Linked DNA regions of Rattus norvegicus. The protein of the gene in region 2 purifies or fractionates together with the protein of the main gene of each other region. This does not show direct contact. Links are inferred from orthologs where the notes say so. Each region holds a gene or a part of one and is shown on either strand. Other genes may lie near its edges. The genes, in order: Srpk2, Nop2, Nifk, Nop56, Ftsj3 and Rpl11.

Region 1 (4,674 bases), about 150 Mb from region 2:
CCCATTTATTTTTCTCTTTTTTTTAAACCAAGTCATTTTTTAAGAGTTCAAATAAAGTATTTTAGAAGTATAATAACTGGCTAACACTAATTGAAAAATGTGATGAGTGCTATCATGACACTACAAGGTATTACATCCACATCCTGGATAAGACATCGGTATTAGATAATTTTTTTTAAAAAAAATCTTTATTTGTTATATACATTGTAGCTATCTTCAGACACACCAGAAAAGGGCATCAGATCTCATTACAGATGGTTGTAAGCCACCATGTGGTTGCTGGGATTTGAACTCAGGACCTTTGGAAGAGCAGTCGGTGCTCTTAACCACTGAGCCATCTCTCCAGCCCCCTTTTTTTTAATAGGCTTTCTTTTTTTTTTTTTTTGGAGCTGAGGACCGAACCCAGGGCCTTGGGCTTGCTAGGCAAGCACTCTACCACTGAGCTAAATCCCCAACCCCTAGATAATTTTTACACTTGAGATTATTCTTTTACGGGTTTTTTTTTAATTAGCAATTCTCAACCCATAAGTCACTAGCCCTTTTCACAGGGTCACCCAAGACCATGAGAAAACACAGATATTTACATTATACTTTGTAACAGTAGCAAGATTAATGTTATGCAACATTAAGTAGCAAAAATAATGTTATGGTTGGGGGTCTTGAGGAACTGTATTGAAGGGGGCAGCATTAGAGTTGAGAACCACTGCTTCAAATAAATTAAAAAATCAAACAATACAGCTTTTAATGAAATGGAGAGAAAAGGCACATTTTGTTTTAATATATTTAAATTAATTAAACATTTTATGCTTACAAAGTTTTTAATTGATGCATAAATCATACTCATCACCTCAGTGAGACTATCACACCTGCTTAATACAACTCAGGCACCTACTAAAACCAGCAAGGCAGGCTGCACAAAGTCACCGTCAACAACACTTGTCTCAAAACTTTGTAGTTATGACAACAGGTGCTCTCTTCTCTTTCAAATAACCACATAGCCTAAGTAAAATCATGGAAACACTGTAGAGCACGTTTTCATAGACTGAGTTTTAGTCAGAGAAAAAGTTAACTTGTTTTTAAGAGAGAGCGATCTTCTGTATTCCCCCATCAGTTTACCAATAAAAACTCACGCTACCCGGGAAGGATGCATAATTATGTGGTCATCTCATTAAGTACAGTGCTAGTAGCAAACTCTCCCTCTGTAGCTGATGCTTAGCCGGCTCTCAGCGCACTCCCTTGTCTACGTTCCCATCCACAGCAGCTTTCTGCAGGATACTCCCCAAGCTGAAGGCCCCTTTTGTAGCCCAGCAAACAGAATGAGTGAAATCAGGTGGCTAGCCACAAACCAGAAGTTACAAGGGTCAAGAAAAAAAGCACAAAACCTCTTAGTTACCTTTTAGTTTCAGTCTCTACAGAATGTAGTTACATCCTCACGTGTAACCAAAGTTGTAACAGAAGCTCTTCACCTAATAACACTAAGAAGTCGGAGTCACCTCTTTCCCTGCAGAGCTGGCCTCCTGAAACTAGCACACATTCTGCCTCAGATGATCAGCTAGTTTCTAGTTTGGTTTTAACAATATTTTTCCTGTATTGTTTCTTTACCACCAACTTAATTTTCCACGTTATTTTCCTAAATTTTCAATCTACGAACAACAATGCTGAAAAATTAGCCGTAGAAAAGATAAATCAATATGGCTTAAATACAGTTGTCAACATTAACTATAAATTGGTAAGATAGGGAAAAGGAAAAGGTAACCATCAACTGTCTGCCTGAGAACCTCAATCTCAAACACTCTGAATACATACTGTATACTCACAATTTCAATAAACACAAGTGAACACAGAATTTACTTATCAAAATACGGAACTTTAGTCTCATTTCTTACAGCAGATATTTTTATCTTAATTTTGCTTATGAGGCAAAACGGTAATTTTCATGAAACATCTCGTTACAGGTATAATCCTAAGAATGACAGATAAAATAACTGCTTTAAAAATACTTGTGAGTCATTTTGTCCTTACCTGCAGGCGTGAACCATCACTGCATGCAGGGACTCTTCCCTGGCAGACACTTGAAGAAACATCAGATCTCTTTTTCAGATGTGACTAATCTGTGGGTTTGCATTCCTAAGCTACGTACAAATGGCACTCCCTTTGTTCATTAAAAATATATATAGACTTATTACAGGGAAAAAAATCAACTGTTTAAGCTAGATATTTACAAATAACCTTGGGAATTCTATATACCAGCAACCTCAGAATACAAGAACAAAAATCTCATTACGTCCTTTAAAAAGCAAGATTTTTTTTTTTTTTGGTTAAATTATTTTTTAAGCTTTCAGCAGCTGCCACACTTGAGCCAGCGATCTGCTGTGTTATGGTGCGCATGCTGCAGCTGATTAGACTGACTGTTTTTCTAAAAAAATCAATTTCCCCTCGCAAAGCAGAACGGCTTGCCCAAATACACATCTTCAATCCAGCACAACGCCAGCATGCAGTACAACACGTTCCATAGCAAACTTGACAAGGGAAAGGTAAGTCCTGTTTGTTTCTTGGCAATGTTGCCCCATTAATTGTTCATGCAAGAGATGTAGCTGTACCTTTCTGAAGAGGACGACTTCTCAGAGTTAACTGACATCAGCAGCTCAATCTTCTGCTTGATTTCTGGAAAAATCAGAAAATATTCACAACCAAGATTGCCCGCCCTTGCTTACAAGCCTTATATCAAGAGATTTTTCTTCCCTAATCCCTTTTGTTCAGAATGAGGCCACAGGATTCACAGTACTTCTGTTCGGGCTGGGATTCAATGGTGCTGTAAAGGGACGGCGCTCCAGAGCACAGGCCTTGCTAAGCTATGCACATGACTGTTTATGAAAGCAGGAAGCACCACTTCCTTTAAGCAGAGGGGTGTCCTTTTTTTTTTAAGGTAGAACTACCCGGGTTTTATTAAAAGGTTTCAAATTGAACAAATTACAACACAAACATGAAATGCTAACAGCTAAACTCAATATACTAAATAATTTGAGAAGCCTAAATTACAATGTTTCAATCTGCAATGAACAGATATGCAACCCCTGGCTGCTTCTATTTGATTGGCCCTAAAAAATATGGCTCAGTGAATCATTTCTGTCACTTAAGAATGAAATATTAAGCCAAAACCTCAACTCAATGATTAAAATGTTATAATTTCCTGATTGTTTTTAATCAAATTTAACATCGGTCCCTAATGTTCTCAGAAAGACTTCTTTACACCTCACTTTCCCCTCCTCCTTCACAGAACACAGTGAACAGCAACACCCAGGTACCGTGCAGAGAGGATATTCTTGTCCTTTTAGGAAGGACTGGCAACGCCACCTACATCAGAAATTTAAGTGCAACTTCAATTTAATTAAAAGATGGTTGTTGGAACCAAGTTAGGTAGGAGAAGAACTTACAGGCCAGAGTGAAAAGAGCACAGCAAAGGCAAAAGACACGGTAAATATAGCGAGCTGCCTTAAACCACACCAGCAACTTAGTATCTCCACTGAGTAACCCCGGTGTTCTCACTTCGTGGGAAAGGCTCTTTTGTCTGTTCTTAAAAAGTATTTTCACTCTATTTTTTTAATTACAATATACATTTGTAATAAAAAGTCCACATACTAAAATTAAAACTGTTATCACTGGAAACCTATAAGATGTCAGAATTTCAAAGCAGACCTCAATAATGTCGGGGGTGGGAGGGTAAGCATGCACACATGCACGCATATTTCCTAGAAACAAAACAATGGTTTAAAATGCTGACTACAGCAATAGAGTTAAAATATGAAAAAAACGTAAGGAAAAAATAAAAGTAGGAAAGTTCTCTCCCAGTGTTAAGGGATTTTCCTAATTTAAGCATATATCCTCATCCCATAGACATAATAAAATTAAACTGCTAGAATAATAAAACTTACCTTGAGAATTCTGAGGTAAATTACAGGGCCCAGCGCAGGGGCTACAGGGAAACTGTTTTAGTAAAGGCTCCCCTCATTTCAAAAGAGAAACATCTCTGCATGGGACTTAGAAACACTTCACTTTCAAAAACCATGGGCTCTTCAGGAAACTGCCCATACTCTCTAAAGCCTCTATTTCCTCATCTATAAAATGGGGATAAGTATTTCTACTTGTGGAGAATTAATTAAATAATCCACGCAAAGCCCAGGCGAGTCAGGCATGGCATGTGGGGACCCTGGGAGCCTGTTCCCACCGGCTAACACAGCCCTTCTCCCCTTGATGCACACTTACTGAAGGACCCAACGAGGCACAGGCTGTCCGCCTTACTGCTGCTTCCACAATTTTAAGCCCACTTTCTTGCCCCGAGCATCATCAGTGTCGCCATGTGCTTTAATCAGCGTGCTACTGTAAGTGGAAGCTCACTCCACACCCCAAGCACGCTACGCTTTTTGACTGGATGTTTCAGAATGAGATTGTGCTTGAACCACCATTATTGCAAAGAGAGTCTCTTTAAGTTCTTACTTTACTATGTCTAGATAAAACCTGAGGTAAACACCATGTTAAGGCAGTGGAGCCGCACAGCCTGTCGCAGTGATGCAGGAAGGATGTCCATGTTCTCTCCAAACCATCACGTTTGTTTAGTTCCGGAAACAGTGAGCGATTCCGGAAGAATTTTATACCCACTGTCAGTGTCACTCCTTG
Region 2 (4,512 bases):
TGTGGGTGCTAGGAATTGAACCTAGGTCCTCTGCAGTGCTGAGCCACTGATCCATCTCTCCACCCTCCAAATTAGGCAGCACACCCATACACATAAAATAAACTGAAGAAAAAAAAAAAAAAAAGATGGCCTGGAATTCTGTTCCCGAGGGCTCCACCCCTCTTCCTGTCTCTGTAGGCGCTGCAGCACTGACATACATGTAGGCAGACAATAGCACACACATACATCTGAAAAAGCCGACAGTGCTTTTCAAAGTTGGGAGGGCTGAGATGGATCATCAGAACCCTTTACTCCACTCAGACTGTCCTTGTCTCTCAAGGAGCCTACAGTTTGGAAAGCTAAAAAGCAAGTTAGACATGGTAGCACACACCCTGGTGCCATCACTTGAGAGGCCTAGGCAGGAGGAGTACACATTCTAGGCCAGTCTGGGGACTAAAAGGCTAAGATTCAGTCAGGCATGGTAACAAACACCTGTAATCCCAACACTCAGGAGGCTAAAGTATGACAGTTGTAAATTAAGAGGCCTGTGGGCTACACAGTTGAGAGTTTGGGCCAACCAGGGCTACACAGTGATACGTTGTCTCAAAAGAACAAACAAGCTGGGTGTGGTGGCATATACCCTTAGTCCCAGCACTCAGGAGGCAGAGGCAAGAGGAGCTCTGAGTTCAAGGACAGCCAGGGTTACACAGTAGGACAATAGCTCAAATAAACAGAAAGATCTACTTGAGAATACCCAGAAGTGACTCACCTTTTCCTCCTCATCCTCCGAGTCCGCTCCATAGTCGTCCACCATATCTTCACTACTGTCTTCAGAGCCCCAAAGTTCCCCCTGGGTCACCACATCTTCTTCCTCAGAGTCTTCCTCCTCATCCCCATCACTGTTTTGAATTGGTGCTGGACGCTTCTTACCTCGAACCTGGACTGCTCCTAAAAACGGTAGGGTGTGCCAGACCCTGAGTGGACAGCAAACACACCTGCCTCACACCCCCCGAGCCTCAACTTTCTAGACCACATCTGACAGCTCATAGGGACCCATCTCCATCCCCGAGTGCATTCAGCATTCCACTCATGAGCACGCAGACACATGCAGACACAAACGAGTAACAGTAAAGACAGGGCTGGAGAGAAGACCCAGGCTAGGAGCCGTCATCCTGGCACTCGCATGGTACGGATTCTACTTCCAGGGGACCTGGTGCCTTCTTTTGACTTCCACTGGAACCAGGCAGCCACATGGCACACATTCATACACGCAGGCAAGACACTCATTCATGCACATAAAATAAATGAGGCAGAGACAGTTGGATCTCTGTGAGTTAAGGTCAGCCTGGTCTACAAAGTAACTTCAAGGATACCCAGGGCTACACAGAGAAACCTGTCTCTTAACCACTAAACTACCTCAGCATCTCAAACAAACAAGAAGAGGTCTAAAAAAGAGATCTTTGCTATTCCTTCCATTGTAGAAACAATTAGCCCTTTCCAAGAGCCAGTCGATTCTTCACAGAGCAGCCAACTCCCATGTTCACTAACCTTTGGGTAACTCTCCAGGCAATGTTTTGATCCCAGGAGACTTATTTGGCTTAGGGACTTCAACAGACCCTGACCTCCTCTTGGCCGCCCTGAAAGAAGACAGAAAGTGAAGACAAGGGAACACAAGGGTGGGTTCTGCCACCTCCCACCACAAGGAAACAAGACAATGCACGACCAGCCCTCTTCACCCATGGGTCAAGCAACTCCAATCCTCATTACACCTGGGCATCCACTCACCTCTTCCGAGCACGACTGGACAGCCTCTTGAAATTCTCATCACCAGCTGTTTTATTGTTAAAAAGGAGCAGATTAGGAAGTGATAGGAAACAAACTGGGGCAGGAATGTGATCAGGAAGAGATTACCACATTAACTAAAGTGTGGCAGTGATAGCATTAGGTATGTGTAAGCCCCCTAGTACACCCACAGCACCGGGAAAGCCATAAGGTTATAGACTCTGGGAGTCACTCTGTAACACTGAACTAGGAGTTACATCGAGATGTTAAGGAAAGGCCAATATACAACCTGCGCTGAGTATGAGGAAAGCCCATCCTATCCCCATCACTTCCAGAAAATTAAAAAAGACCAAAAGATGTAGAAGAGATGAAGCAGTCATCAGATTGGTCAGCAACCAAATTCAAGCAGGGTCATCTGATAACAATGTAACCTCAAACCCCCCTTTCTGCCCTCCTCTTAGTCTCAGCTTATTCATTTATCAACTAAATAAAGTAGAACTTAACTTTGTTATTTTTTAAGAGAAATTACAGAAACAAATCCTTCTTCACTTAGTATGTGTAAGACACCTGACCTAACAGAGCCTCTCTCCCACGACTCTAAAATTCGATGAAGTGAGACCATGTGTCCACAGAGTTAAGGATCTCTTTCATGAGCCTGTGGCTTGCCAATGTCTATATATTGCACCTTCCATTCAAATAGAACACGAACTCCCAATGCTACCTTCTTTAACACGGGCGATTTATTTCCTAACAACTCACATCTATGCAACAGGTAAAAGCGGACACGCAAACGAGAAGTTATAACACAAAATGGAGCAAAGGCTGGGCGGGATCAGGGAGCTACGACTCTCACCTGCAGGCAAAAATCTGATCAGTTCGGTCTCTGCACCCTTCTGCTTTCGAGCCTTTCGGCCGGGCCCACGCTTCTCCTTCTTCGTAGGATCCAACTTGCGCCCCATGATAACTAGAGCAAAGAAAAATGAGGGAAGGCGACGTTGGGGGATGCTGAAAAGGGAACGCAGGCTTAGGGATATTATCTGGGACGAAGCACCGCCTGGCCCAGGACCAGTGCTCGGAACGCCGATGTCCTCCAGGCTCTCCCACAGGACCTCGTCACCACGCCCCTCTCGAGAAGCTCAGGTCGAAACCCTGCTCCTCAATCCTGCGGACGCACCTGAAGGCTCGGCTTGCCTAGGACTGGTTCCGGCAGACCCAGTGCCTCCAGCCAAGGCCCGCTCCACGTGCACTTGGGGAAGAGTTCAGAGGCAGCACACCGCGAAAGTGAACTACGCGCAAAGCTTCCGGACGACGCCCCGCCTCTTCCTGCCGCAGCACCGGAACGGACCTGATCCAGGAACACGCACCTTCCGCGGTTCACAGAGGTAAACGCCCCGCTACGCGCTCGTGCTTTCTCTGCCCTCAGTTCGGGAGTTGGCTCCTGCCCGCGGGTTCCTGCTTGTTACTCCTAAGGCCGCACGCTCCCTCCACCTAGAGCTTGCCCCCTGGCACCCTAATTGCCTTAGACCTCAAGATCGCGGGATCCCACGCCTCCGCCCTCCTGTTCCCAAAGATTAGAGCTGCTTTCCTTAGAGGTAATCCTCCCTCCAGCCCTTTTCACTTAGCAAAACGTACTCGTCCTTCCTTCAAAGCAGTATTAGAGTTAAAAACCTTACAAGCTCGAGAGATGGTTTGGCGGATAAACGCGCTTGCCAAGCCTGACGAACTGAGTTTTGAATACAGAATCCACACATATGGTGGGTGTCGGGAACAAACTCCTACAAGCTGCTCTTTGACCTCCATGTGCACAGTAGTAAACGTAATACTATATACAAACTATATAAGTGAGTAGTAGTTCACTCTAATCCTAGCCCTCTGGGAGTAAAGGCAGGTGGGATCACGAGTTTTGAAGGCAGCCTGGAATTCCTGGACCCAGAACTACTCAAAAAACCCTGTCCCAAAAAACCAGTAACAATAAACTAAGGGAAGGTGAATCACTGAGAAAGATGAGGGTATGGTAACACATCCTTAATTCCCACACTTGGGAGGCAGGGACAGGCTGTATTTAGACCCTGGTCTCAAAAAATAAAATGAAATATTTATGTATGTATATGTATGTCTGTGTGTGTAGAAAATGTTTCCATGATAGATTGCTTGCCCAATGTCTTAACAACTCTGCCAGGCAAGTGACTACTTCATGCAGGAGGGCTCTGGAGACAATTTGCAAGGGAGATCAGAGCCTATGAAGGGATGGCCCAGAAGCCTTTTTCTCCACAGACTGTCATCCCGGCAGAAGCACAGGCACACAGGCTGCAGTCTTCAGGGATTAAACCAGTTCCTGGGGTATCTGGAACCCACACTCACCCACATAGAACCAGATCACTAAAATACAAGGAAACTTTTATTTTCAGTTCTCATCAAGAAATTTGCTGTGGTTTTTTATGCTTTTGGTTCTTTTTCTTTTTTTTTTTTTTCCAACTTTATTTTAGCTGCTCAGTGGCTGGAGCCGCTGGGTTCCTGGTATTAAAAAGGTGCCAACAGAGGTAGCTGTGTCTCACCCAGGGGCCCGGCCCACTCTGAATACCCCCCAAAAGGAGAAAACACAAAGTAAACCAACAAAATAAAACCAAAAAGAGGAAGAAATTCAGATCATTTTCTTCAAGCCTGGCAGAACCCACAACAGTTTGTAACAGGCGCACGGTGGGGAGAAGCCAGGGTCCAGAAGGCAGCCAGCCCGCCAGCTCCTTGCTCGGC
Region 3 (4,401 bases), on a different chromosome or scaffold from region 2:
AACCATGTTTCTGGAGCAAATATGGATTCATTGCTCACTGTACCTTCACTAGTTGAGCGGTGAACAAAGGCTACATCTCCTGGTAGCTGTTAAATAAATGCAGCAGTACATCAAGAATCAATTATTTCTTAGAGGGGCCCATAGATGTTATTTGGGGAGAGGCCTCTGGAGCAAGTGAGGAGTAGCCATTCCGTGAGACTGTGGAGTCTACAGAATTTAGCAGCTATGACTCAGGCAGAGGCAGTGGCTGCTAAGATTATCAGGAAGCTGGACAAACACTTGACAAAGGAAAAAAAGCTGCTGGCTGTATTAGCCAGGGCACCTGCAGGAGACAGCAGGTACATTCCAGAAGGGATCCACGAAACTCAACCCACCAAGAGCCAAAGCTCAGGAGCCTCCTCAGGAAATGGAAGACTCAGACAAAACAACACCTTGTTTCCAAGGAGGGAGGTAGAGACAGGTGGGGCAGCACAAGTCTCCCAAGGGAAAGGATTGTTCAGAGAACTAGGAAAGGCAACCAGCAGAAACCCCAAGAGTTGGAAATTCTCTTCCAGGGAGGAACCAGTGGGCAACAGGCCTTAAGAAGCTGGTGTGGTACCACAGACAAATCCCACCGCATGATTTAAGCCCCAGTAAAAGCAAATTCACAAAAAACAAAACAAAAAAAAACCCACCAAAAACCAAAACCAAAAAACTGACCTGCCACTTCTGTTTTGGCTAAACTGGCTGGGAGCAAGTTCTACAATCCAGGCTCCAGCTCCCAGTACTGGGCTCACTTGGCCTTTCAGTTGGTGCTTGAGGAAAAGGTGCGTGTGTGTGTGTTCTACTTCCTGTTTAGAGCGCGAGTGCTCTTACCATTGGGCCATTTCCCCAGGTCTCAGTCACCCTGTCACTGGGCTGGAGCTGGGCTGAGCTGGCTAGTCAGTGCGCCCCAGGAACCCCATTCCCACTTTCCTAGCACTGGGATTACACATGTATGTGACCATATCTGGCTTTTGACCTGGGTTCTGTAGATGGACAGTTACAAACTGGGCTATCTCCACAGCCTCATTATTTTTCTCTCTTTATTGAGATAGAAATCCACATTATGTAGCTGTGACTGGCTTCAAACTCAGTGGTCTACCTATCTGTCTCCCAAGTGCCGGGACGAACGGTATGAGCCACCATGCTGCTTCGCTTGTGAAGAGTTCCCAAGTAGGAACTTTGTAGGTAACAAAGTTTTGCCTATGAATACAAAGGAGGCCGTACAATTGACAAGCAAAATAAACATAGTTGAATTCAGGTACAGAATCTTACCCGCTTACTTCTGGACAATCTGAATCTTCTAATATCGCCAAACTGGGCACAGTAGTCATAGATGTGGCTTTCAGAGAGCGTTGAAGGTAGGTGCCCCAGATAAACTACTCCAGAGTTAAGTTTTTCTTCCTTCTTCTGCTGAGGACAAAACAGATAAACATTTTAAAAAATTCACACTGCACCAAAACATTGTATATACACATTTTTTTCTGACCTGGGTCTCATTATGGAGCCTTGGCTGGCCTGAAACTCACTATGTAGACCAGGCTGGCCTCTAATTCATGAATACTAAGAGTAAAGGCATTACTATGCTCTCTGCAAAGGACTTTATTTTTCAACAAAGGTATGTTACCATTCCTTAACTTCAGAAAAATTTAATTCTAAAGTCTTTTTTCCCTTTTTTGAGACAGGGTTTCTTTGTGTAGCCCTAGTTGTCCTGGAGTTAGCTTTGTAGACCAGGCCAGACTCAAACTCACACAGACCCACCTGCTTCTGCCTCCTGAGTGCTGGAGTAAAGGTGTGTGCCACCACCCCCCAGCTTTCTAAAGTCCTTTCAGAGGATAGGTAGAGCTTTGCCTGCCTCTGTCTCTCCAGCACTGGACTGAAGGTAAATGTAACCTTACCTGGCCTGCAACAAAATTTTCAACACCCTTCATTCCTCTTGGTCCGGGAACATTTCTCTATCACAGCAGAAACTGAAAAACTAGGTGTCTGTATCTCTTTTCTTAAGCACCGCTGTGCAAACCTGAGGCTTGAGTTCAATCACACAGAGCCACAGACTCTGCAGAGACAGACTTATGTGTGCCGTGGTGTGCATGCACACCCACCTGTCCCTACAAAGCAGTCGGCACATGTGTTCCTTAATGGACAATCAAGTGAAAGTCTGTCATTGTCACTCCGAATCCAAGACCTTCAACTCTGAACTCAGATGGCAGCTTATTACATCGAATCATTTCCGATTAACCTTCACAGTGAAGACTATACTTCTGTCACCACCTTAGAGAACAAGAACTTGTTTCCCATCAGGTAGGGTACTGGGTGACCTATAGTGACCTACACCTGTAATCCCAGTGGATATATGGTTCAAGGACTAGACTGCACGGCAAATGTGATGCAATTTTGTGCTACAAAAACTCTACAAAGACACTGTAACAAAAACAACCCGCACAAAAGACACCCCCGCCAGGACAACAGCAAAACAAGAAAGAAAATCTTCCTTTCTCTCCAGTGCACCTCATGCTGAAAACCAAAGGGGATATAAACTTCCTTTCGGGGCAGTCTGGGAACAGAGCTTGGCAGGCTGTAATCCCTATTTTCTTTGGCGAAGCTCTGGTCTGAATACTGAGCCCGAGCTGTTTTCTGACTCTCGATCCTCCTGCTTCCCCGCTCGTCCAAGGACCTGGATTTGTCTGTTCCGTCTACTAAGCACTACAACGTAAGGGGACATACATACCTTCCAAATGCTGTGGTTCATTCTGAACCCCCATTTTGCGGGCCAAAGCGGAAATGTGACAGCTTTAACATATTTTGGGAATTGGAGGTGCCATGCTCCCCACACGTGGTACACCTCCTTTTTCACGTGAGCCCTGAGGGCCTAAAGGGTCAAACCTCACACCGATTCCCTGCCTGCCTCAGTCTCCAGAGCCCGTGAGAGGTGGGCTCCCGAGTCAGCGCGGCCAGAGAGCCCCGCCGCTCACCTTTTTCGCGCGCCGTTGTATTTGCGTCAGATCCTTCTCAAACTGCGAGTCCTCCCGCGGGTTCAACGCCAGAGTCGGCTTCGCAGGGCCTGAATACTCGGCCATACTGGAGAAGCACGAACAAGTTAATCCACGCGGAACCTCCGGAAGTGACGTTCTTTTCACTACTCGGAAGCGGAAGCAGAGGCGGGAGTGTAGCAAGAAGAGCAAGCCCTGGTGTTTGGAATTGGACGACCTCGAGCGCCACCTATTGACCACAATCTAAAAGACTTTCTAAGACGGATTAAAAATTATTCGGAGGCTAATGTTGGTGAAGTGCTTGCCCAGCTCTGCATAAACCATGACTGGAGCCCCACGCCTGTAATCCTAGAATTTGGGAGGTGGAGGCAGGAGGATCAGGAGTTCAAAGCGGTTCTCATATGCATAGTTCGACCACGGCCTGGGCTCCATGGACTCAAAACAAATTTACAAGTCCCAAACATTATCCATGTCTGTTGGCTAGTCAGGCCTACAAGCAATAGGGAAAGTCTTCCTGCCATGGACTCCTTTTGTAAACTTTGTAAACACTCAAGCAGGAAAGTGGTCAGGCCCCTGCCTGAGGAGCTTCAATGGCCAGCCTCCCCAAATCTCCACATGTCCCCCTCTTTCCCTAACATCCCTAACGATTTCTAACCGCCCAGAAGTGGGAGAGTGACCAGACTCTGGCATACAAGAAAAAAGTTCCACCAGTCCCTGAGTTCCCTCAGGTTCAGGACTTGAAATTCCACCAGTCCTCACCATGGAAATCTCCACAACATAGTGCAACATATATTTGTATTTTTGATATTATACATGTGTCTTTATGTGTTCAGGAATTCAGGTGACCATAGAGAATAATGGTGTGGGATCTCCTGAACCTGGAATTACAGGCTGTTGTGAGATGCCCAGTGTACTGGGAACTGAACTCAAGTCCTCTGGAATAGTAGAAAATATTTTTAACTGTGAACTACTTGTTCAGTCCCTATTTATTTTATTTTTATGTGATAAGTGTTTTGCCTGTCTGTATGTGTACCCTATATGTGTAATGTGTGTGCCGAGGACAGAAGAGGGTATCAGAACATGGACTTAAGGACTGTGAGCCAGGGTCCTTTGGCTCTTAACCACAGAGCCATCTCTTCAGCTCCCTAGTAGGTTTCTTTAGATAACACAATAGGAATTTTGAGAAAACACACACACAAAAAAAGAAGTTTGAAGACTTTCTTATGTTGAAATAATTGTCTTGGGATGTAGCAATGGCTCAGTGGTTAAGAGCACTGGCTGCTCTTTCAGAGGTCCTCAGTTCAATTCCCAGCAACTACATGGTGGCTCACAACCATCTGTAGTGTGATCTGACGCCCTCTTCTGGTGTATCTGAAGACAGCTACAGTGT
Region 4 (4,674 bases), on a different chromosome or scaffold from region 2:
AAGAGATCCAGTGCCCTCTTCTGGTGTATCTGAAGACAGCTACAGTGTACTTATATATAATAAATGAATAAATCTTTAAAAAAAAAAAGAGACAAGTAGTGACTTAGTTTTGAGATCATGAACCAAAATGCAGTAATAACCATATCTGTAAACAATACTGAGATTATTATGATTTAATCAGTAATGCTTAATATAGATTTATAAGTGCAATAAAATGAACTATGTGCTTCCAATTTTTTGCTGTTGAAACACTTTACTCAGAGGGCTGGGGAAAACCTGGAGAAATCCTGTCTGCTGTCCTGCATGGGGCAGACCTTGGAGATCTCCCAATCTCTCTGTGCTTCAATATTTAAAATGTTTATGTGTATGAGCATTTTGCCTACATGTATGTGTGTGTACCACATATATGGCTGGTACCCGTGAAGGCCAAAAGAAAGCAACAGATCCCCAGGAACTGGAGTTACAGGTAGATGTGAGATGCTATGTAGGTGCTGAGAAGTGGACCTCGGACCTCTGGAAGAGTCATCAGTACTCTTGACCACTGAGCCATCTCTCTACCCGACGAATGAATTCAGTAAATTCACTGAGTTGAGAAAACAAATCAGATACAACTTATAAATGTGCCTTATGGTTATAAGAATTTTCAAAATCCCTTTAGGAGTTGCAGTAGAGTTCAGCTGGTGGAGGCCCTGCCTTGAATTCGCTAACAGATACACAGGACTGGTAGAGGTTCAAAGAGCATACACGTAGTCAGCTACAGAGCCGCCAGAAGGTGGGGGGGAGGGGTAAGGAAGGGAGGAAAGGGAAGAGGGAAAAAGGAAGAGTGAGGAGGTGAGGAAGGATGAAGGAAAGGAAGAGGGGAATGGAAAGAAAATGAGGAGGGAAGGGAGGTAGAGGAGAATCCCCTTAGCATTATTATTTTCTTTAAGGCACAGACTAAGAGGCAATCAAGTTTGGGACTTAAAATGCTAAAACTAAAGTTATGTGGGTTTTTTTTCCTCTTTAAAGCAAGAGTAATTTTAAATTAGATACCTTGGTGTGCCAACAAATGACATTGTTAAACAAGAAAGCAGCTTCTTGGAAGGATTCAGGGCCCACTCAGCCATGAGCACCACGTGGTGCCGAGCAGAGCTCGGTTCTATGAAGCAGGGCAAGGAAGAGAACTAGCAAGAGGTAAACCGCCATTATCTACGCCACTGCCCGCACCAACACTTTTTTGAACAACAAAATTTAAGAGGAAGACGCAGGCAGCAAGGAGCCGCCATTTCTGCAGCGTCGGGGACCGGGTCCCAGGCGGAAGGCGAGGACCAGGACTGTCTGGGCAGCGGGAAACCGACAAAGTTCATCAGGGAGCCTTTCGTTCCCTCACCGAGTTCCGCCTCCCGGCACATGGGTAAAAAAGCACGAAAAACGGAGAAGAATGATCTCCAGGCTCTGCGGCCTGCCGGTAAGACCGGCGCCATTCATTCCCGACACAGTCTCAGCTCGCTCAGGCTCAGAGGCCCAGATGGGCAGGCCCGCTCGCGCCCGCGTAATCCAACCCGCCCGACGGACGATACCACACCCGCAAATCCCTCCGAAGACCTAGTAATGGTTCCGTCCCCAGCCTCTGATTGGTCCAACAGGAGAAGGCGTGGCCTCCGCAGTCTGGTTCCGCGCGCCAGAGCGCGCTACCCGCATTGCGAGCTGGGCACGGAGCAGGCGCCATGGTGAGGAGTGGTTGTGGGTTATTTGCGTTGTGAAGGCCTCAGTGTGCGTCTGGGTTTGCATTCAGGTTTGGGCTCGGAGTTTGGGCCAGGGCCTGCTCTAGCAGCGGCCCAGCGGACTCGGAAGTTTGACTAATGGCCGCGCGCCGGTTCCCTTTTCAGGTTCTGCTGCACGTGCTCTTCGAGCATGCGGTCGGCTACGCGCTGTTAGCGCTGAAGGAAGTAGAGGAGATCAGCTTGCTGTTGCCGCAGGTGAGTGGAATCGGTGGGCTCGTGGTGCTGCAATGCAGCCCCTAAGGCCGCCAAACCCCAGCATGCACCGCGTGTTCCCACGTGGCCGACCGCACCGAACGGGGAGGGGGGCAGAGCTGTAGAACGAGGGGACTCTAAGGCTAATCTATATAATAGGAGAGGTTGTAGATCAACATCTCATACTCTCATTTCTTAAGAATTAGAGTCCGGATGCGGGCCTAGGCACCAATTGCTACAACAGCTGGTGTTCCTGCTTTACTGCGCGGTAGAGGCCAAATTCAAAGAAAGCCCATTCATCCTCTCCACAGGTGGAGGAGTGTGTGCTTAACCTTGGCAAATTCCACAATGTCGTTCGTCTGGTGGCCTTTTGCCCCTTTTCTTCATCCCAGGTTGCCTTGGAAAATGCTAATGCTGTGTCTGAAGGTGAGCTCCCCCCCCCCCCCAGGGATGCGTGTTTCTGAATGGCTGATGATTTTCTTCTAAGCTTGATAGATTCTAGGCATTATTTGAGACCTACAAGATGGCAGTTTAAAACAGTTAAATGCTTCACAATTGTGCTCCCGGACCTGTGGTTGAGTCAGGCTTTGCAATGATGACTTGAAAAATCTGTCAATCCCCTGAGTGATCGATGATGACTCCATGTTTCTGAGCAATGCCTGAAGGGATGGGTGTTCCTGTATGGTCGGAGTGGAGGCACAGTCCTTCCTCTGTTACAGTTGGGACATTCTTCGTCGCGTTAAGAGCTGTGTTCTTTGTTCCAAGGTGTTGTTCATGAGGACCTCCGCCTGCTCCTGGAGACATACCTGCCATCTAAAAAGAAGAAAGTACTTCTGGGGGTCGGAGACCCCAAGATCGGTGCTGCTATACAGGAAGAGTTGGGGTACAACTGCCAGACTGGTGGTGTGATAGCTGAGATCCTTCGAGGTAAGAGTCCTGTTCAGTGTGTTGCCTCTACCATGTGGATGAAGTACCACAGAGGCCAGGAGAGGGGCTGCTGGTTTCTAGTAAGCAGCTATGAGTGGTTATGTGGGTTCTAAAAGGTCCTTAACCATAGTCCTGCCTTCTTTTTAGGGGTTCGTCTGCATTTCCATAACCTGGTGAAGGGTCTGACAGATCTTTCTGCTTGTAAAGCCCAGCTAGGGCTGGGACACAGCTATTCTCGTGCCAAAGTTAAGTTTAATGTGAACCGGGTGGACAACATGATCATTCAGTCTATAAGCCTTCTGGACCAACTGGATAAAGATATCAATACCTTCTCCATGCGTGTCAGGTAAGGTGCAGAAGCCACCAAACACTGGTTTTCTTCGGCCTAGTTTAGCTAATGCAAACTTAAGGTCAAGCAAGGCTGATAATTTGTGGGTAGAATCATGGACCAAAGCCAGGCCTCCTTGTGCTTACCACAGGCTGTGTTCCTACACTGACTGTATAGAAAGAGGAGGCAGAATAAACTACCCTGTGTACACCTCAGCCTAGGCCACCATGCCTGGTCTGTATTGTGAATGGGTAGACAGTGATTTGAGGGAGCCTGGGACCTGAGATCAGGTTTGACAGCTGGGTCAAGGTGTGATTGTCCCTCTGCAGGGAGTGGTATGGGTACCACTTTCCAGAGCTGGTGAAGATTATCAACGACAATGCTACATACTGTCGCCTGGCTCAGTTCATCGGGAACCGCAGGGAGCTAAATGAAGAAAAGTTAGAGAAGCTGGAAGAAATTACAATGGATGGAGCCAAGGCTAAGGCCATTCTGGATGCCTCTCGGTCCTCCATGGGTCAGTGCGGAGCGAGGCAGCCCGTATAAGGTACGAGGCTCCTTGAGTATCTGGTCCCCCTGTTCACACTAGGTGTTTCCTAGGCATGGACATATCTGCTATCGACTTGATAAACATCGAGAGCTTCTCCAGTCGTGTGGTGTCTTTGTCAGAGTATCGCCAGAGCCTACACAATTACCTTCGCTCCAAGATGAGCCAAGTAGCCCCCAGCCTGTCAGCCTTAATTGGGGAAGCGGTGCGTCATGGGGAACACAAAAGTGGGGGAGTAAAACATAGCATTCTGTACCGCTATACTTGTGGCTAGCATGCTGTCCCTAGTTGTTGCATGGTGGGGAGGAGGAGAGGGGAAAGAGTGGTAGGTCAGGTTTCTGTCCACTCACCTGCCCTCCTTGGGTCTCTCTCCAGGTAGGTGCACGTCTCATTGCCCATGCTGGCAGCCTCACCAACCTGGCCAAGTACCCAGCATCCACAGTGCAGATCCTTGGGGCTGAAAAGGCCCTGTTCAGGTACCAGTGAGGGCGCCTGCCCATGTCAGGTGCTGCTTCTGGTGTCCACTGCTTTGTTTGGGGATTACAGTGATGGCTGACCAGGACTACCTGACCTATAGAGGCCTCTACTATGGGAGTGATGGCCAGTCCTAGTGTCTGAGTGATTCCCAGGGCCCAGCAAAAAGGGACCAAGTTTCCAGGTCAGCAAATTGAATGCCTTCCCTCTCTGTCTCTGGGAGCTAGGTTGGCGCACGTTGAGGTAGAAAGTTCAGCCAAGTCTGGTGGGAAATTGTAAGAGGGGAACTTGACCGTTTAGGTCAAGTCTTCTGACTAAACTGTTCACTGAATATTCTCACAGAGCCCTGAAGACAAGGGGTAACACACCAAAATACGGACTCATTTTTCATTCCACTTTCATTGGCCGAGCAGCTGCAAAGAACAAAGGCCGTATCTCCCGAT
Region 5 (4,534 bases), on a different chromosome or scaffold from region 2:
TCAGCTGCTGACTCTTCTTCATCACCTTCTTCTTCCGAGCTGAGGCTGACAAACCAGTTCAAAGATTCGCTTATTTTTCCCAGACAGTGGTCCGATACCCAGCCATCCCTAGCCCTGGTCACCTCCTCCTTACCTGATGTCCAGTGCCTTGGCTTGCTCTTTCAGCTTCTTGGCCACATATCGCCGAAGCTTTGTTCTCCAATTCAGTAGAGACCTGCCCAAGAAATACTGTTATCTTACTTTCTCCATCTTTGTCTCTTCTTAAAGTCCACACGCCAGAGTTCAGGCTTCAGCCATAAACTTAACACAAGCCTGGTCCCCAGAGTCCAACATAGTGTTGCCCTTATTCCTGTGTACCTAAGTTCCTTGCGCCCCAGCACTTTGATGTCCTGACAGCATGCTCTGATATCTTCAGTGGTAGCTGGGTGCTGTGCCAACTCTTTGTCGTCTATTGAGATCTGTTTGTGAGGGAAAGAATGGGACGTTGTTCTGGCCTTGTTTCTGGGCCTCCTATAGACTCTCAATCTAGGAACTCACTTCGCTGGCCTTGGAGAGGAAGTCAACAGGATTGGCAGCTCGCAAGAAGTCAGTGACTGAGGTTCGGTGATACAGAGTGAGGTCACCTTCAGCATAGCCTTCAGCCTTAGGAAGGGAAATAAAAGATGATTACTAGACAGTCGATTCTAAGATATCAAGTTCTCCCAGTTTCTCAAAATAATAACAATAAAAACACCTTTGGCTTCTTCTTTGTCACCAACTCAGTGACAGTTTTAGCCTGAACTTCAACTTCCTTAAAGGCAAACTTGGGATCGAAGAATTTAGCATCAACCTTGTCCGGAGCCAGGAATCCTAAAATGAGAAGAGAGAGTAAAAGTTCTGCTAGATTAAAGGTATGCTTTCATAATTAGAAGGCTGTGTCAAGAGGAAGGGGTTGTGTCTTACCTTGGCAGACTACAAAGATTTCTGCAGATTCGTGACGAGAGGCCTGGGGCTTGGTGGCCTGGACACGGTGGAACAGCTGCTGGAAGATCCACAGCAGAGGCTGATAGTCTCGGGAGCGGAAGACTTTCGTGATGAAACAACCACCACGGGCCAAAAAGTCACAGGCCAAACGCAGAGCCATCAGAGTTAAGTGAGCTGTAGGACAGAAACAGCCAGTGAACCCCTGAAGCCTTAGGGCACGCCACCTCCACCCTCCCCTCCAAGCCCACGTTCCCTGTACCTTGTGAGTAAGCATCATGGACCCAACTAGCCCCCACATTGGGAGCCCCATCATTGAGCACAACATCAACTTTCCAGGTCTTCAGCTCCTTCCTCAGGGCCTAATGAAAGTAAAGGCTTTGTAGCAATGGAAACACAATGATTGCTAAGAACAGAATTCTGATTCAGTCATCCGTCTAGTCAGAGTGAGTGCCCACCATTGGCATCACAGTGCCAGGTACTAGGCATACAACAACAACAACAACACAACCTATCTTTGCCAAGCTTAGAATTGGTTCACTGGAAAGAACTTTACTGAACAAAGAGTCTTCCACCCGTTCACAGCACTATCCATGCCAGGCTTGGTGGCACGTGGAACCCAGTATTCAAGAGGCAGACAGACTGGAAGATCAAGGCAAAACTAGGCCATGGACCCAGCTCCACATAAGTGTGGACTAACTACATAGTTAGAAACTATCCCAAGTACCCAGCAAGGCTCTATCTCAAGGGAAAAAGGGGAAATAAAAAACAGGTAAAGATGGAAAGGTGACCAGGATTGTCACGGTCTCTTTAGCCATGCACTTGAAACCATGGTAAATTGGGAAATGTCTCACTTTCAGGAGGCAAGGGCGCCAGCACATAAGAGGGAATGAAGGAGAGATCTTATTACCTGCCTACAGCGTTCTGTTGTAATATCTTCCTGGAGAGTCACCACATTGGGGAGAGGCTTGATTGGAACCAGGTCCACTCCTTTAAGATGTTAAGTCGGTGTATTACAGGGTGGAGGGAGATGTAGGACAAATTTAATACCTCTCCCACCCCTCCCCCTCAAATACCCAAGAGTCACTCACCTACAATAAGACTGGATACAGGCATAAACTTGGCAGCCACCTGCAGCCTGTGGAAAAGACAGGTTTAAATACCTTTCATCCCTTGGCAATGTGATTTCCCAGCCTCTTAAGGGGCACTTGTTAAGTGTCTTGGCCAAATTGTCTATGCACACATTCAAGAAGCAAGCTGCTGGGCGTAGCAACACAGGGCTGCATTACCAGCTATCAAGGCCAAACGTTCAAGGCCAGCCTGGGCAATTTCTGAGAGTCCCTGTCTCAATGAAAAGAAAGCAGATTGGAGATATAACTCGGTGGTGGAGCGACTGCCTAGCATGAGTAAGTCCTTAGGTTCAGTCCCACGAGAGGGGAAAAAAGAATGACACTGACTTCCAAAATTTAGGAGAGACACATGCTATGGAATATTTAATCTGAATTGTATAATCGGATTTCCATCCTCCCCCAAAGCAACTCAAAGCCAGCCAGTGCAAGGGACGTATCATCACAAGCAGTCCCTGCCAACCAAATATTACCATCCTCCAGGTGCAGCACACAGGTCCAGCAAGGCCCGGGCTTTCTGAAGGAACTGAAAGCGGCGATTGAGCTGGATCAGTTTGAAGGCAGAACGCGAACGATAACCTAGACCGTAGGGAGTGGATGTATAAAACAATAACGTCTACGGATGCCTTTTCTAAGAGGACTTCCACAGCCTCACAACCCCATCACCCTCCCCCTAAGGAAAAGGAACACAATATTAGAAAAAGCGTAAAGGCTGATATGTTATTCACGCAGCGCAAACCCACTCACCGGTCTCCTTGGCCAAGTGATAGAACTTGTCCCGCCGGCTCTTGCCTACTTTGCCTTTCTTGCCCATGGCGGGATGGGGTAGTATCACTCACTCTGGGGAGAAAGAAAAAGTTGAGAATATCTTTCAGAGCGCTGGATTTTTGCTTCGGTTCCTCGGGTGGCGAAGCAATCACTTACCGAGACGTTAGATAGCCCTTAACTCCGCAGGTTTTCAACACTTAGGGAAGTAGCACATGTGGGTAGTGATCGTACTTCCGCTTCCGCTCGCGCTCCCTGTGTTCCTAGCGTCTTGATTTACGCCATTTTGAGTGTGGCCAAAAATTTTGTCAGCGTGTCTTGCAAGTTAAAAGTAGAGGCTAGGAAGTAGAGTACAATAACTACTCCCTAGACTCTAGGAAGCATCCGCCATAAGTTATATATCTCTTTACAAACCTACTAACCGCCAGTAGAGCCTGTAATAAAGCCACTGTTATTGTCTCACCACACACCCCGCCCATTGACCCGGAACTGTTCTCGGTCGTGACCCAGGTCGCACGCTTTCGGCTCCGCGCCTGCGCAATAGGGTGACTTGGATGCCGGCGGTCCCTGCCGAAGGAGGGAAGATGGCGCTTGATGGGCCAGAGCAGGTAAGGATTCTGCCGCGGCGTCAGGGCGGCATCCAAGCCGAGTGTGGAGTGCACAAAATCTGAACTGAGGGGTGGCCACTAGCAAAAGGGTCGAGTGGATCAGGGGTGGGTGGACCACGTCAGACTTGACCCTGCCTGGAACTGGATCTGCTGTGTCAGCGCCACCCGCGGTAAGCAGGACAGGGCTGGGTAAAAACTGAATGAAGAGCTAGGCAAGCCGGAATGGCCTGGGTGGGACCTGGACTTGGTCCTTCTGTTCTGCCTTTGTCTGTAGTAGTTACACCTTGGGTTTGTATAGCTCTTGCCACAGAGCAAAGCGCTCTGTAAGTATATGGCCCCTTGAGCCTCCTAAAAGTCTTCGAAGGTAGGCGGTAATTGCATCCTTTTAGTGGATTCAAAAGTGAAGGATTAGAACCAATAACTAAGCCTTTGCAGTTCAAACACACAGACCTCACCTATGGAGATAACCAGTTTCTGAGGAAAAGGGAATGATACTTTCCTGGCCTTGTTTCTTAAGCTATATGGTAAAGTGCCCTGAAAATACTTTGGCTTTATCCCTTAGTAGTTTACGTAACTGTTTAACAATTACACTTGTCTTCAGATGGAACTGGAAGAGGGGAAGGCAGGCAGTGGACTCCGTCAATATTATCTGTCCAAGATTGAAGAACTCCAGGTAAGTCCAGACACCAGAGGGAGCTTGAGAGCTAGCTGGTAGGTGCAGATTTCTCAACGTCCTTTTTCCACTGGGAGTGCAGCAAAGTGTTCTTTTCCAGTGTCGTTCTTGTAGCTCTTCAGTTGTTAATTTATTATGCATATGTGTATATGTGTGCTTTCGTAAGCTTATATGCATCATATGTATGCAGGTGCCTGCGCAGGGCAGAAGAGGGCAGTGGATCCCCTGAAACTTGAGTTACAGATAGTTATCTTTCCCAGGCACTTAGAGTGACAACTAAACCCAGGCCCTCTGCAAAAGCAGTAAACCCTGTTAACTGGTGAGCCGCCTCTCCAGCCCCTCCTCTGTGGTTAGGAAGTAACAAGCAGTGTAACGTATATTGGTAATCTCTTGGATGGGAA
Region 6 (4,563 bases), on a different chromosome or scaffold from region 2:
TTTGGCCCCAATGCAGCCTGTTCTGCGCTTCTTGTCTGCGATGCTGAAACCTGGCCTACCCAGCACCTGTGCCAGAATAACCAACAGTCATCTAGCCAGCCTAGGGCCGGGTCACCAGTGGACAGACAAGACTCACACATTAGAGACCGATCTTCAAGTCATCCAGAAACTTAACAGATTCTGAAGCAAGACCAGTACCTCTGTTGGACGGAAGTGTCGTTAGCTACCCGGACAACACACCAAGCTCTGAACACACATGCCCTGCAGGCTCCTTCCCCAACTGGTCTCCAGCCTTGTAACGTCAGTCTCAAGAGGGATCTGATTCCCTTGACCTGTTCTGGCCTCTAGGCACCAGACACACATGTAATACTAACATGCAGGGAGTTCAAGGCCAGCCTGGGCTGTAAACCAAAGACCCTGCCTCACAACAAAAACCTTCAACATGTGTAATGTGAAGAAATGTAAAGCACCCAAAGGCACAAAGGCACACTCACCCCCTTGGTTCAGAAGCTGCCCAGAGCTCTGCCGCCCTAACCGACCTCCCCCTCAGGTCTCACTTTTACGTCTGGCTCTTTGCTCTCACAGAAGCACTGTGGTAACAGAGTCATTTCCACATGAAAACCCCACTTGAGCACAGTCTGTTTCCATGTCTTCCCCACAGAACTCACGTGTGCCAGAGACTAGGGATGAGTGGAGACAGGGTAGCCAATGCCAGGGACAAAGGCAGCACAGGTTTCTCCCAGAGAGCTTTGCACAGCAGAGACCTGTCAACCCTGTGTGGTTGAACCTGTACACTTGCTAGAACAAGGCCCTTCTCTCAAGGGGGACACACAGGCAGACAAGACACAGACTTCAACCCAGCACTACATCCCAACAGCAAGACAGCATGTGCGGACAACAGACAGAGGAGCAGCAGGCCCTCTCCCCACAGGCAGCTTGGGATCAAGAAGTCCACATTCCACATACCACATAGAAATCCAGGCCATAGATGCCAATGCTTGGGTCATATTTGATGCCTAGGTCAATGTGTTCCTGAATCCCAAAGCCAAAGTTGCCGGTATCTGAGAAGTTATTCTTCCGTAATTCGTACTCTCGCACCTGAGGAGACATAAAGAGCAACCAGGTTATTCCTTGTGTTTAAAGAGCATAGTATGAGCTCAGACCAACACCCAGAAGGTCCGGAGCAAAACCAAAACTCTGTGCATCCCAGCCAGGAGAACAGGCAACCCTTCCCTTAAACCAAATCATCTCTCATCATCCATCAAATGTTCCCCACTTCCAGGCCAGCCCACCTCACCTTCAGGCCTTTCTCCAGAATCTCCTCTGCCTTGGCTCCACGGACAGTGCAGTGAACAGCGATTTTCTCATTTCTCCGGATGCCAAAGGACCTGACGGTGTATCTAGCTGCAAGAAGGGAACAGAGAGGTAGGTAACATTTTACTCCCACTGCCCGGCATCTAACGTGTTAATCAACCTCACCCACCAACACAGAACAGAGCTTTCCAGCTCTAATGTCCCCAGCCGCACTTCAGCTAAGAACATTACAATCCCCAGAGTTCATGACATTAGGCAAGTCAGAGACAAAGGTTAGCACCGTTAATACTCCTTGAGAATGTCAAATGTAGCCCAGGCTGGCCTTGACCTGGGAGCAATCTTCCTGTTTCAGTCCGGGTACAGGAGTTACAATCATAGGCTACCAGGCCTAGCTTAACATTATGCTCTATCATACAGGAACCTGCATTCAAAATCCAGAATGGGGTGTGGAAGGGACAAGCTGGGAGGTTGACATTGGTAAAAGCTAGTATTTTCAAAAGGCCGACTGTCCAGATGTCCTGAGGCTAACTAGCCCAGGCTCACCGGTGGTACTAAGAAAGGGTATCCAATCCCAACAACAGACCACCTATAACCACACTCCCAACAGACCCCATGTTTCAAGCACATTAACACCTCCCATGTGGCCACACAAGGGAATCAGAATTCATTTTAAGGAAGCTGAGGTAGAGCCTAAAGTTAAGAAGCACTGATAGGGGGCTGGAGAGGTGGCTCAGTGGTTTAAAGAGGTCCTGAGTTCAAATCCCAGCAGCACCCACATGGTGGTTCACAACCATCTATAACAACATCTCACGCCCTCTTCTGTCAAGCAAACAGAGTACTCAGATACGAACATGAATATTAAGAATAAGAACGGATAGTCTCTCACCCCAGCAGTGTAATGTATTAACCCTGTTCTTACCTGTCAACCAGGCGGAATACTACACGTCTACTCTAGCTCCCTATTCGCACTCCTGTTCCGGCTAGATGGACTGAGGCCTTCCATCCACGCCTCTCTGGCTAGCCCATCACCACTCACCTTTGGAAAACACAGGGGTCTGGCCTGTGAGCTGCTCCAACACCTTGGCTGCTCGGGTCAGTCTGTCTCCACTCTCCCCCACGCAGATATTGAGGCAGAGCTTGCGGATACGAAGTTCCCGCATGGGGTTCTCCTTTTCACCCTGATCTTGCTGCAGAAAAGAGTAAACGCAGCCGTCAAAGTCGAGAAGCCAATGTCTTCTCCAGTCTGATCTCTACGGTCCCGAATCCTATGGACTAAGGACTAAAAAGGTCTCAGTGTTTGGGGCGGAGGAGCACTGAGTAAGCCTGAATGCTAAGGCGGTCGATGTTTCTGGGTAATAGACACAAGAGCTTATAGAAAGCCAATCAGACAGGAGAGAATACAATGTAACCTTAAAATGACAAACTACAGGAAACATCGGCCTACGCGACCTGCCCTCCTCCTTCCCAAGCTGTCTGCAAGCGAGCACCAGTCCTGAGTAGGGACCCGCAGATGCTCCCCAGCACCAAACAAGCTTCAAGTCCCCTGGGCTGGGACCCGACAGAGAGCTCGGCACATTCCGCTCGCGCTCCCGGAAGCCCCCAGACCCCGCGTCTGGGCCCTCGGGGCCGCTGACCTGAGCCCCATTCCTACGATGGGCGGCGACGTGACGGGCGAGCCCTGCGCCCGCACAGCCCTGCCGGTCTTAATGCCACCAGCATCGCGGGCTCCGTCCTCCTCCAGCCACCGGCGAAACAGCCCTCGTGGGCTCCGCCGGCCGCGGATGGAGATGGATGAAAGAGAGGCAAAAGCAACTCTTGCTCTACTCACCGCCATGGTGGAGAACAGGAAGAGAGAGTGGGACTTCCGGCCCCGTGGCCTTATGGGTCAGGAGGCGGGATTTTTCTCCTAGGCTGACAAACGAGGTGAGAGTGGGAAAGAGAGGCACGGTTGTCTTGGCGCTGCCTCCTCTAGTGGATCGTCCTCGGAACTGCAGTCATCTCGGGCTAAAGACCAGGTCTTTTGAAAACCAGGTAGACTGGTATGTTCTTGAGTCCATCACTTCAAGAACAGAGTCATAGCCGTACTTTAAGTGGACCTTGGTTTGCAAAGTTCCCAGCATGTACGCTGTATTTCAAAACTGGCTGGGGTTGGGGATTTAGCTCAGTGGTAGAGCGCTTGCCTAGCAAGCGCAAGGCATCTAGGTTCGATCCCCAGCTCCGAAGGAGAAAAAAAAAAAACTGGCTGTAACTCCAGTTCCAGGGAGACAGATCCCTCTTCTGGCATCTACAGGCACCAGGTTATGCAGGCAGGCAGGCAAAACACCCATATAAATAAAAAAAAATAAGCAAAATTTTCAAAATAAGCTGAGGCTGGAGAGATGGTGCAGTAGTTAAGAGCATTGACAGCTCTTCCACAGGTCCTGAGTTCAAATCCCAGCAACCTCATGGTGGCTCACAATCAACTAAACTGATGCCCTCTTCTAGTATGCAGGTGTACATGCAGATAGAACACTCGTTTACATAAGTAAAAGGATAAACTGTACAGATTCTAGGGCATTTATTTTGTAACAATGTTAACATAGAAGTTATACTAATCAGCGTAGTGGCTTAAATCAGCTGTTACAGTCTGATGCCCTTGCCTTCCTCCCGAGGACGCCAGACACACACTTGCAAGAACACATGTGCGGGGGGAAAATTTTTCATATAGATAAACTAATAAATGCTAAATAAAATTTGAAAATAGAGTCCTGAGCTGTGAATACAGGCAGGTGTGGTTTTAATTCAACTTACTAGTTACTAATTTAAATGATTTCAGTCTGTTTTCTTTCCCCTTGTGTAAAATAGGTACTTCAGGGGGTTGGGGATTTAGCTCAGTGGTAGAGCGCTTGCTAGCATGCGCAAGGCCCTGAGTTCGGTCCCCAGCTCCGGGAAAAAAAAAAAAAAATAGGTACTTCAGTGTCACGGGTTACTGTGAAAATTCAGTGAAGTAGTGAAGTGTGTAAGTTGTTACTTTTATGATTAATACAAGCCTAGAATACAACATCCAAGCAACGCTCACCTTCCAAAAAAGGTATTAAACAGGTTAGCTAAAAAGAGAGGACAGCAGAGATGCAGGGGAGAGAGAGAGAGAGAGAGAGAGAGAGAGAGAGAGAGAGAGAGAGAGAGAGAGAGAGAGGAAGAAGAAGGAGGAGGAGGAGGAGAAGGAAGAAGAGGAAGAGGAGGAAGAGGATGGAGAGGATGGAGAGGAGG

Evidence for each region.
Region 1: the proteins of Nop2 (region 2) and Srpk2 purify together in Homo sapiens (affinity purification with mass spectrometry; 3 studies listed by BioGRID and IntAct, with this or other methods). This does not show direct contact. The link is inferred for Rattus norvegicus from reciprocal best matches to the Homo sapiens genes NOP2 and SRPK2.
Region 3: the proteins of Nop2 (region 2) and Nifk fractionate together in Homo sapiens (co-fractionation; 3 studies listed by BioGRID, with this or other methods). This does not show direct contact. The link is inferred for Rattus norvegicus from reciprocal best matches to the Homo sapiens genes NOP2 and NIFK.
Region 4: the proteins of Nop2 (region 2) and Nop56 fractionate together in Homo sapiens (co-fractionation; 3 studies listed by BioGRID and IntAct, with this or other methods). This does not show direct contact. The link is inferred for Rattus norvegicus from reciprocal best matches to the Homo sapiens genes NOP2 and NOP56.
Region 5: the proteins of Nop2 (region 2) and Ftsj3 fractionate together in Homo sapiens (co-fractionation; 3 studies listed by BioGRID and IntAct, with this or other methods). This does not show direct contact. The link is inferred for Rattus norvegicus from reciprocal best matches to the Homo sapiens genes NOP2 and FTSJ3.
Region 6: the proteins of Nop2 (region 2) and Rpl11 fractionate together in Homo sapiens (co-fractionation; 3 studies listed by BioGRID and IntAct, with this or other methods). This does not show direct contact. The link is inferred for Rattus norvegicus from reciprocal best matches to the Homo sapiens genes NOP2 and RPL11.

Annotation. Positions count from the first base shown.
Region 1 is NC_086022.1:12,427,901-12,432,574, reverse strand, and holds the start of Srpk2 (SRSF protein kinase 2), read right to left. Parts: upstream 2,833-4,674; 5' UTR 2,665-2,832; coding exon of another isoform or gene 2,639-2,664; coding exon 2,601-2,638; exon of another isoform or gene 2,085-2,600; coding exon of another isoform or gene 2,023-2,084; intron 1-2,022. UniProt on the Homo sapiens protein: Serine/arginine-rich protein-specific kinase which specifically phosphorylates its substrates at serine residues located in regions rich in arginine/serine dipeptides, known as RS domains and is involved in the phosphorylation of SR splicing factors and the regulation of splicing.
Region 2 is NC_086022.1:159,617,497-159,622,008, reverse strand, and holds the start of Nop2 (probable 28S rRNA (cytosine(4447)-C(5))-methyltransferase), read right to left. Parts: upstream 3,044-4,512; 5' UTR 2,936-3,043; intron 2,726-2,935; 5' UTR 2,721-2,725; coding exon 2,615-2,720; intron 1,811-2,614; coding exon 1,765-1,810; intron 1,617-1,764; coding exon 1,528-1,616; intron 928-1,527; coding exon 749-927; intron 1-748. UniProt on the Homo sapiens protein: S-adenosyl-L-methionine-dependent methyltransferase that specifically methylates the C(5) position of cytosine 4447 in 28S rRNA. Required for efficient rRNA processing and 60S ribosomal subunit biogenesis.
Region 3 is NC_086031.1:31,944,875-31,949,275, reverse strand, and holds the start of Nifk (MKI67 FHA domain-interacting nucleolar phosphoprotein), read right to left. Parts: upstream 3,131-4,401; 5' UTR 3,099-3,130; coding exon 2,994-3,098; intron 1,435-2,993; coding exon of another isoform or gene 1,432-1,434; coding exon 1,297-1,431; intron 1-1,296.
Region 4 is NC_086021.1:137,928,529-137,933,202, forward strand, and holds the start of Nop56 (nucleolar protein 56), read left to right. Parts: upstream 1-1,650; 5' UTR 1,651-1,706; coding exon 1,707-1,709; intron 1,710-1,868; coding exon 1,869-1,958; intron 1,959-2,266; coding exon 2,267-2,381; intron 2,382-2,542; exon of another isoform or gene 2,543-2,611; intron 2,612-2,720; coding exon 2,721-2,882; intron 2,883-3,029; coding exon 3,030-3,228; intron 3,229-3,339; exon of another isoform or gene 3,340-3,471; intron 3,472-3,539; coding exon 3,540-3,727; intron 3,728-3,810; coding exon 3,811-3,962; intron 3,963-4,132; coding exon 4,133-4,233; intron 4,234-4,295; exon of another isoform or gene 4,296-4,381; intron 4,382-4,573; coding exon 4,574-4,674. UniProt on the Homo sapiens protein: Involved in the early to middle stages of 60S ribosomal subunit biogenesis. Required for the biogenesis of box C/D snoRNAs such U3, U8 and U14 snoRNAs. Part of the small subunit (SSU) processome, first precursor of the small eukaryotic ribosomal subunit.
Region 5 is NC_086028.1:91,684,132-91,688,665, forward strand, and holds the start of Ftsj3 (pre-rRNA 2'-O-ribose RNA methyltransferase FTSJ3), read right to left. Parts: upstream 3,049-4,534; 5' UTR 3,012-3,048; intron 2,928-3,011; 5' UTR 2,902-2,927; coding exon 2,835-2,901; intron 2,667-2,834; coding exon 2,561-2,666; intron 2,099-2,560; coding exon 2,052-2,098; intron 1,951-2,051; coding exon 1,871-1,950; intron 1,323-1,870; coding exon 1,223-1,322; intron 1,138-1,222; coding exon 943-1,137; intron 850-942; coding exon 734-849; intron 643-733; coding exon 538-642; intron 459-537; coding exon 358-458; intron 215-357; coding exon 134-214; intron 46-133; coding exon 1-45. Other genes in the region: Psmc5 (26S proteasome regulatory subunit 8), read left to right, coding at 3,437-3,460, 4,062-4,133.
Region 6 is NC_086023.1:153,557,960-153,562,522, forward strand, and holds the start of Rpl11 (large ribosomal subunit protein uL5), read right to left. Parts: upstream 2,844-4,563; 5' UTR 2,502-2,843; coding exon of another isoform or gene 2,475-2,501; coding exon 2,351-2,474; intron 1,405-2,350; coding exon 1,298-1,404; intron 1,099-1,297; coding exon 967-1,098; intron 67-966; coding exon 1-66.